Drosophila melanogaster: one gene and its partner. Changing the gene in region 1 together with any one later gene gives a genetic interaction. Each region holds a gene or a part of one and is shown on either strand. Other genes may lie near its edges.

Region 1 (3,754 bases):
TGCATATCAACTTTTTATCAGAAAATGTATGTTAAAAAAGTTAAGAAACGTCTAAAGTTATATTCTATTTACTATACATTTTTTAAATTTGTAGTAATGATAAAAAAGTAGTAAACGTATTTTTATAATTTCGCAATCATTTTAAAGAGCATATAAATAAAATATAAAACTAAAGATTAAGAAAAAAAATTTTTACAGGCATTTTGAACAGATGAGAATTCTGCATATACATAAGTATATCAATAAAAAAAAACTTTAATTAATATATTCCTCCACAATGCTATCAACTCGTTACTGGATAATTCGAAATCCTTAAAAGGATTTAAGTAAAGAATAAAATAAAAAGCAAAACCACATTCGAATTTTGGTGTTCAGAAGTCAAGATTCAACATTTATTTAAAGAGAGGGCTCAACATCGTTTCGCTTCGCAGCGTCTTAAACGCATTTAACCAAACTCCCTCTTCCATCCATTCGATAACTTAAGCCGATTTTGTACCTATAGCGATCATCTAAATATGCATTCCATCTAGTCGCTACCAGCGGTCACTTTGCCGCCATCCGCGCTGCCAAACTTCTCAAACAGCTCGTACTTCCAGCGCATGTAAGCTACGCGCATTCTGTCCCAAACGTTGTCCACGGAGTCCATGGCTGGGCGCACATCCAGCAGGGCAAAGCGGTAGTCTTTGTCCACCAGTCCACCGTCGTAGTAGTCGATGACGTAGCGCACATCCTTGCCGCAGCGATCGACTATCCAGTCATGCCTATCGAATGGCAGCTCGTATCTGTAAGACAATTCGAACATTAATTCAGGTGAGATCTTCCGTCTGGAGTATACTCACCCCAGCCAGCTGCGGAATCGAGCGCGCGGACTGAAGTCCTTGGCCTTGCCACCGAAACTCTTGAGGCGCGGATTGCCGCATTCCTTGGCGTGAAGCGCCTCCCACTTAAGTACCTCCTGCCAGGCCTGCTCGTTGTTGGCATTGTGGATGCGTATGATGTCGCCCATGTCCTTTTGCGATACGTCCTCGGTCTTCCAGCGCCAGCCCTTGCGTAGCATGGCGTTCCAGAACATCTGTTGGCTGGGATACTGCCAGAATTGAACGCTGCCATCCTCGGTGACTTTGGGAATGGTCGACGTCTGGCGGTCGGTGGGCAGTGGAAAGGGCTGATCTGCCGCCGGCTGTTGGTTTGCCGGTGGCATCATATTCAGCGGATTAACGTCGCTGTTGTCGTGCTGCACCGGACATTCGGAAGCGGCCTGCATCTTGGGATGTGGGGGTACGGCGGAGGCCGATTTTGCATCTCCATGCTTCTGATGCATGGGGCATTCTGGTGGCGGGGCACCACTGCCGCTCATGTACTTGGCGTGGTCCACCGGCACACTCTTCGTGGCCTCCATTTGCACTCGGGTGATGGCTGTATTGCCCATTTCTGCTGGGGATTGGTTAATAACAAAATCTGTGTCACGAGGAAAATCGCATTAGTTCTCAGTTGCGTAACTGTAAGGAGTGGGTTACACTCCCAGTGCTGGGCCCCAACGCCAGGACTTACTCGATCCTAATGGTCACAACTCTCGATATTTGTCGATCTTCTCCTGGAGCCTTTCGCCTTAAATTTTGATTTATATTTTCGTTAGTTCATCGTTAGAACTTTTGAGCCCAAAATGCAGCGAGGTTGTGGTCAGGGCTGCCAGACCAACGGAAAGTGGACCAGTTGTTTCTGCACCGTGACAATATGTTAAGTTAAAAATTTAAAAAATCAACTCGCACCGCACGGCAATGTGAGTTTATGGTGTGTGTCTGTCTACAAATGAAAAGCATTGTTGAATTTATTTCAAGTAAATTAACTTGTAGTTAAACACCCCAGCTGTGCTGTGTAGTGTTGAGCAGTCGCTTTGCGATATTTTTAAAAAGTAAAACAAATACATTTATACATTAAAATGTTATTTTGTAAGTGTTATATAAAGTTTTTAAAATACTGGGTTAAATTTCATTTCATATGAAATTCTTTCTGATTCTGAGAAAAGTCGCAGTTAAAGCATAGACAAACATTTTGATTTTACATTTTTGATATTTGAACGGATACCTTGACAGCCCTATTCGGGGAGTTTTCCAACACCAACCATAGCCCGAAATTTGTTTTTGGGTAGACTTCCGATATTTAGATTGAAAAGTGAGTAAATACCACCGGATAGAGCATTAAAACCGACAATTTGGGTAAATCTATGGAGCGCCGCAATGCTGGCCAGCAGAATGCAACGAAAAGATCCGCATATCTGCAGTTCTAGGGCAGAGATTACCGCACTACCTGCGTAGCTCCTGTGATGTAACCACACGACAAATTGCCACTGGACGAGATATAATTGTTATTATCTTGTTTCGTTTTTGTACTGACCCTTGTTTTCCCTTCAGAATGACCGCCGTGTTCCGCGTAGGACTGGTGCGGCTCGTCAGCCGCGCCACACAGTCGCCCAATCTACTCCAGGCGCAGACGAATGCCCTGCCTGCTGCCTTCCAGCAGCGATGCAGCATCTCCGGCAAGACGATGCGAGGTGGACCACGGGTGCCCAAGGCCGCCCCCTATCCGTACAAGACGAAGAAGTACAGCGTGTTCAATGCTATTTTCGACAAGACCTCCAAGCGTTTTGACGAGAACTCCAAGGTGATCTGTGTGGAGGGACCCATCGCGGCCGGCAAGTCAAAGTTCGCCAAGGAACTGGCTGAGGAGCTGGACATGGAGTACTATCCGGCAGTTGATCTGGACCTAATCTACATCAATTCGTACGGCTATGACATGAGGAAGTTGGATCCTCAGTTGCCGCCCAGCTGCCGAAGCTACGATGTGCGCAACTTCTGCCTGGATCCCAGCCACGATCTGGCTGCCCAGTTCCAGATTCGCATGTACATGCTGCGCTATTCGCAGTACATTGATGCCCTGCAGCACGTCCTTAGCACCGGCCAGGGTGTTGTCCTCGAGCGCAGCCCCTACTCGGACTTTGTCTTCATGGAGGCCATGTTTCGGCAGGGTTATCTGTCACGCGGTGCGCGTTCCGTGTATAATGAGCTCCGACAGAACACCATCGGGGAGCTGCTGAAGCCGCATTTGGTTATCTACTTGGATCTGCCGGTCGATGCCGTGAAGAAGCAGATCAAGGCACGCAATGTGGACTACGAGGTGCAGTCAAAGGTGTTCAGCGATGCCTACTTGAGCGATTTGGAGCAGCTGTACAAGCAGCAGTACCTCAAGGACATCTCCACCCATGCCGAGCTGCTCATCTACGACTGGACAGCCGGCGGTGAGACTGAGGTTGTGGTGGAGGATATCGAACGCATCGACTTCAACCAGTTTGAGGCCGATATTCACAACAAGAAGATGCTCGACTGGCGTTTCCCGCTGGAGGCCGAGTGGTGCGAAGCCCGTATCAAGTACTGCCATGAGAAGCCCGATCTGATGAATTACTTCAATGTGCCGCGTTTCGATGTCCCGGAGCTGGTGCGCAGCGCTGACGACGGCAAAGTCTGGCGTGATGTCTGGTTCAATGTAAGTTCGGTGTTTCCATTTCCCTGTTCGATTTCTTTTCACATTAATTCTGCCCCTTTGCACACAGGCTCCCGGCATGAAGTACCGTCCTGGCTACAATGCAGACATGGGCGACGAGGGTCTCCTCACCAAGACGAAAATAGGCATCAACCAGGGCATCTAGAGGGTTTTTGCTATGCTTTCGAGTTGAAATCACCTGGCGAAATGTGTTAAT
Region 2 (3,754 bases), on another chromosome or scaffold:
CCATTATACATCATCATCATCATCGCACAAACACGTAAGCAGTAGGCTTAGAACTGTTGATTCAATTGAGAATCAAACTAAATGCGAAATTTACCATCAATTTTCCAGATGAATGCGCACGAATGTGCTTCCATATGAAGGCCAAAATGTGGGGGCGCACAGGTGATTCCATTGTTTACCCCATTGCGAAATGCAACAGGTTATCTGGTGGGGAGTTAAGTCGGAATTTCAGACAGAGCATTTCACTTCTGAGCCGATTGCAAATACTATGGAAACCTTGGCAACCAGCAATGGTTATCAACGGCCAACAATATTTGGTTGCTCTTGAATGCCTCGGATGCCTTTTAATCAAATAATCGGTCAATTATAATCCAGGACTCTAGTTAAATCGGTATGTTTTCATAATTAAGCGCTTATGTTTGCTTATGCATTCATGCTCATTTTGGTGCACACCAAAGGATTTACAAAGTATTTTTTACCATAAAGTTGCAAAAAGCAGTAGTGATTACAAAACAGATTATAGATTATGTGCCTATATATATATATATATAGAATACACATTTATAAGTTGAACATGTACATATTCAATGCAGCACTTACATATTGAAATGTGACTTGCAGTGTGGGAAAAATACAGTCTCCTTGATTCAGAATATGCAATTTGGTGCTGTTAAAGCTTTCGATTACTTTCTACAATTAACCTAATTTACTGGTCCACCCTAATGGCGGCGCCATAAATGCATTCCCGCTCTCGAAAACGTGGACTCCTTCCATTCCGGCTTCGGCACCCGGACACACGGATTTCCAGATTCAGGACAGCACCTGAGGCCTGTCAGGCGGCGGGGTGGCGGTGGCTTTGAGGAAGGGGGAAGAGCAAGGCACCAGCACATCATAAAAATGTGTAATTCAATTTGGTAAACATTTTCTGCTCCCCGTCGATGGTTAGATGAAAAAAAAATGCACATGAAAAATGCTGAAACCTTTGGCAAAACTCAATTTGGTTCCGGGATCAGATCAGACTGGGCAGGGGATTATGGTTTGGACTAGACGGATTCCACCCACCATGTGAACTAATCACTTGGCCAGTGGTTATTATGGAAACTTCAGCTAATTCTTAAACTCAATTTGGGTTCTCACACTCTCTCACAGAGAGAGAGAGAGAGAGAAATCCTATAAGGTTTAATTCACGAATTTCCAAATCACACGTTTTTAATGCCTTCTAATTACGGTTTATGCTCAAAAGCAAAGCTTCTGAAAATCCCCTACCCCCAAAACAGTGGGCTACATTTGTCTTGGGCATAGTTTGAAAATTTCACAAAATCTTATTAATCTTCTTAATCTTCTTATATTGAATCACAAATAACAGTCACACATCACGTAAATTAAAAGCATGATTACTTTCTTAAAACGCGTTCCTATCGGTATAGTACATATGTATATTTGCAAATGCAATAAATTCTTGTTCAGTTCTTTTGCCACACTTAACTAACATCTTCACTTGTTGATCGACACGAGACTTACGGTGGTAACTTGTTGCCAATTTGCCTTCGGGTGTGTTGGAAATCACAGGTTAGCCAGATGTCTTGATGATCTGCTAATTCTAGCACTTTTCCCCCTGCGCTGTGTGCAGCACAGAGATTTCAAAAATATATGCACAGTAACAAAAAGAGAGTTCAAATACGACGACGAAACACGACGGATACGGATAACAAACAGCAAGTGCCGCAGAACGGAACAGCGTTAAAAAACAGCGTGTGGCTCAGCTGTTCTCTTCGGACGGCACACAATAATATTTGTACTGCTGCTGCTGCTGCTGCGCTTGGTGTTTCTAACAAACAATAACTCTTTCGTGGTAGCCAACTTCTTCTTTCGCTCCGTGTACGTCCGCTCGTTGGTGTGTTTACTGTTACGCGGCCAGCAGTCGACTTGCTGCTATTCCACTGCTGCGGTCTGCTTTATAGCATTCTCTACGCCAAAGCAAAGCAAAGTCACTGGCAAAGCAAAACGGCGGAACGAGAGCGAGATGGTCGGAGAGAGCTGGCCCGTACACTGAGAGAAATTTGCATTGGGCAAGCAAGAGAGAATGTAAATCTCTTGACCAAGGATCACATTACACATCACATGCTTGGCATGCTAGCAAATTCCCAATTTTATTTATTTTATATAATTACGTTGTTAAGCATAAGCTTATGAATGTTTCGGTTCTGAAATTCGTTAGCTTAAGTCCCTGGTACAAATTTGTAATTAACCGAAATTAATAAAATTTTTTTTTGCTCTGTACCGCCGGCGGAAGGCGGGAAGAGTGTGAACTTCTCTCTTCGTGCGTGGGCAGCGCCAGGATAGACGACGATGCACCGTAAGTGCAGCAGGAATCGCGGCAGAGGATGCAATGCAGCATTTAGCCATCCCAATTAGCAGTTGCCGGGCAATAGCCTTCCCTCTCTCTCCACCTGTCTCTTTCTCTGTCTCTCTGTCTTGGCCTGGGCGACCCCTCTCTATCGCACTCTCACAAGACCGGCTCAACAGTGGGCTGTGATGTGATTTGGCAAATGTGTTTACACCATCATGATGACGACGTAGAACTTGGACTGTTGAATAGATCCGCTCAGAGATCTTATTGCACTGAACAAAAATTCCGTTTCTTTTGACATGTTTTTGTTTAGCTTTGAGCTGAACACGTTTCTAAATTAATAAGAAATATAATAGAAATTATTATGCTTAACTAATTTTGGAAAAAGGCAAAATTATTGGCTCAAATTAATACAAAAATATAATAAGAATAAGAATAATTATCTGCGTTCAGAAATCATCTTATGGGAAAAAAGAGAGAGCTACAAACAGACAGAGAGAGAGAGAGAGACAGAGAGTAAGGGGAAAATAGATCTTTATAGAGCCGCTCTATGGCCGACCAACTGTTGCCACTTGCCGGCCACACAGCAAGTTCAAAGGTCGCAGGCCAGGTAGACAGTAGCCACTAATTGGTTGGTAGACAAATACCCATACACAGAGAACAATTTTGAACTTCGGTGCTGATGAATACAAAAAAATAAAAATGTATGCACAAACATATGCAAATGAATTTATAATTCATACCTGATATCTATTGCATATTTAGGTCCTTTAAAACATAAAAACATTAATGAACTCATGATTAACCAAAGTTAACTGTGTAGCAAAATTTGGTTGGGCTAGATTAAGTATTGAGTCCTCACTCGTAGCAACCCCTAAGAGGTTTTCTAGGGTTAACCACAATTAACGATCGTTTGGTCGCTCGTAAAAAAAAAGAACAATTACGATTTTATCCCTTCCTGTAATATTTTAAGGATTCCGTATATCCTATTTCTCATTTTTACGACGGCAATAAAGTAATTATGTAAACCATTTACCTTAATCCCCATCAATTTAAAGAAAAGAAAATCCAAGCTTTCGATCATTTATCAATTAGTAATGAGCCAGCCATCCTTCATTTGTCAATCCTTGCGGTCCCATCAATAAGTTACCAAGTGCACAGCGAATTAATTAATCTGACTCACGGTTCTATTTCGGTTTCACCGCATTGCTCCACTGTGCACTCTGCCCACTCTCTCTCTCTCTTTCTGGCTCGCCCGCGCTCTCTCACCCAACTCCCACTAGTTCTCCCCACATGAAAACTCCTTAGATACGACGACACAAGTAAGTCGTTTGTTCCGGCGGCAACCTATCGCCCCTGTCACCTTAACCTTGCACTTGGAGAAAGTGTGATGGCCAATGGAAT

What was found.
Region 2: of ND-42 (region 1) and out, changing one suppresses a phenotype caused by changing the other (phenotypic suppression), as found in Drosophila melanogaster (one study listed by BioGRID).

The regions. Positions count from the first base shown.
Region 1 is NT_033777.3:22,025,609-22,029,362, forward strand, and holds the start of ND-42 (NADH dehydrogenase (ubiquinone) 42 kDa subunit), read left to right. Parts: upstream 1-2,100; 5' UTR 2,101-2,412; coding exon 2,413-3,540; intron 3,541-3,607; coding exon 3,608-3,703; 3' UTR 3,704-3,754. Other genes in the region: Cchl (cytochrome c heme lyase), read right to left, coding at 527-782, 840-1,429. UniProt on the Drosophila melanogaster protein: Accessory subunit of the mitochondrial membrane respiratory chain NADH dehydrogenase (Complex I), that is believed not to be involved in catalysis. Complex I functions in the transfer of electrons from NADH to the respiratory chain.
Region 2 is NC_004354.4:19,320,135-19,323,888, forward strand, and holds the start of out (outsiders), read right to left. Parts: upstream 1,973-3,754; 5' UTR 1,522-1,972; intron 1-1,521.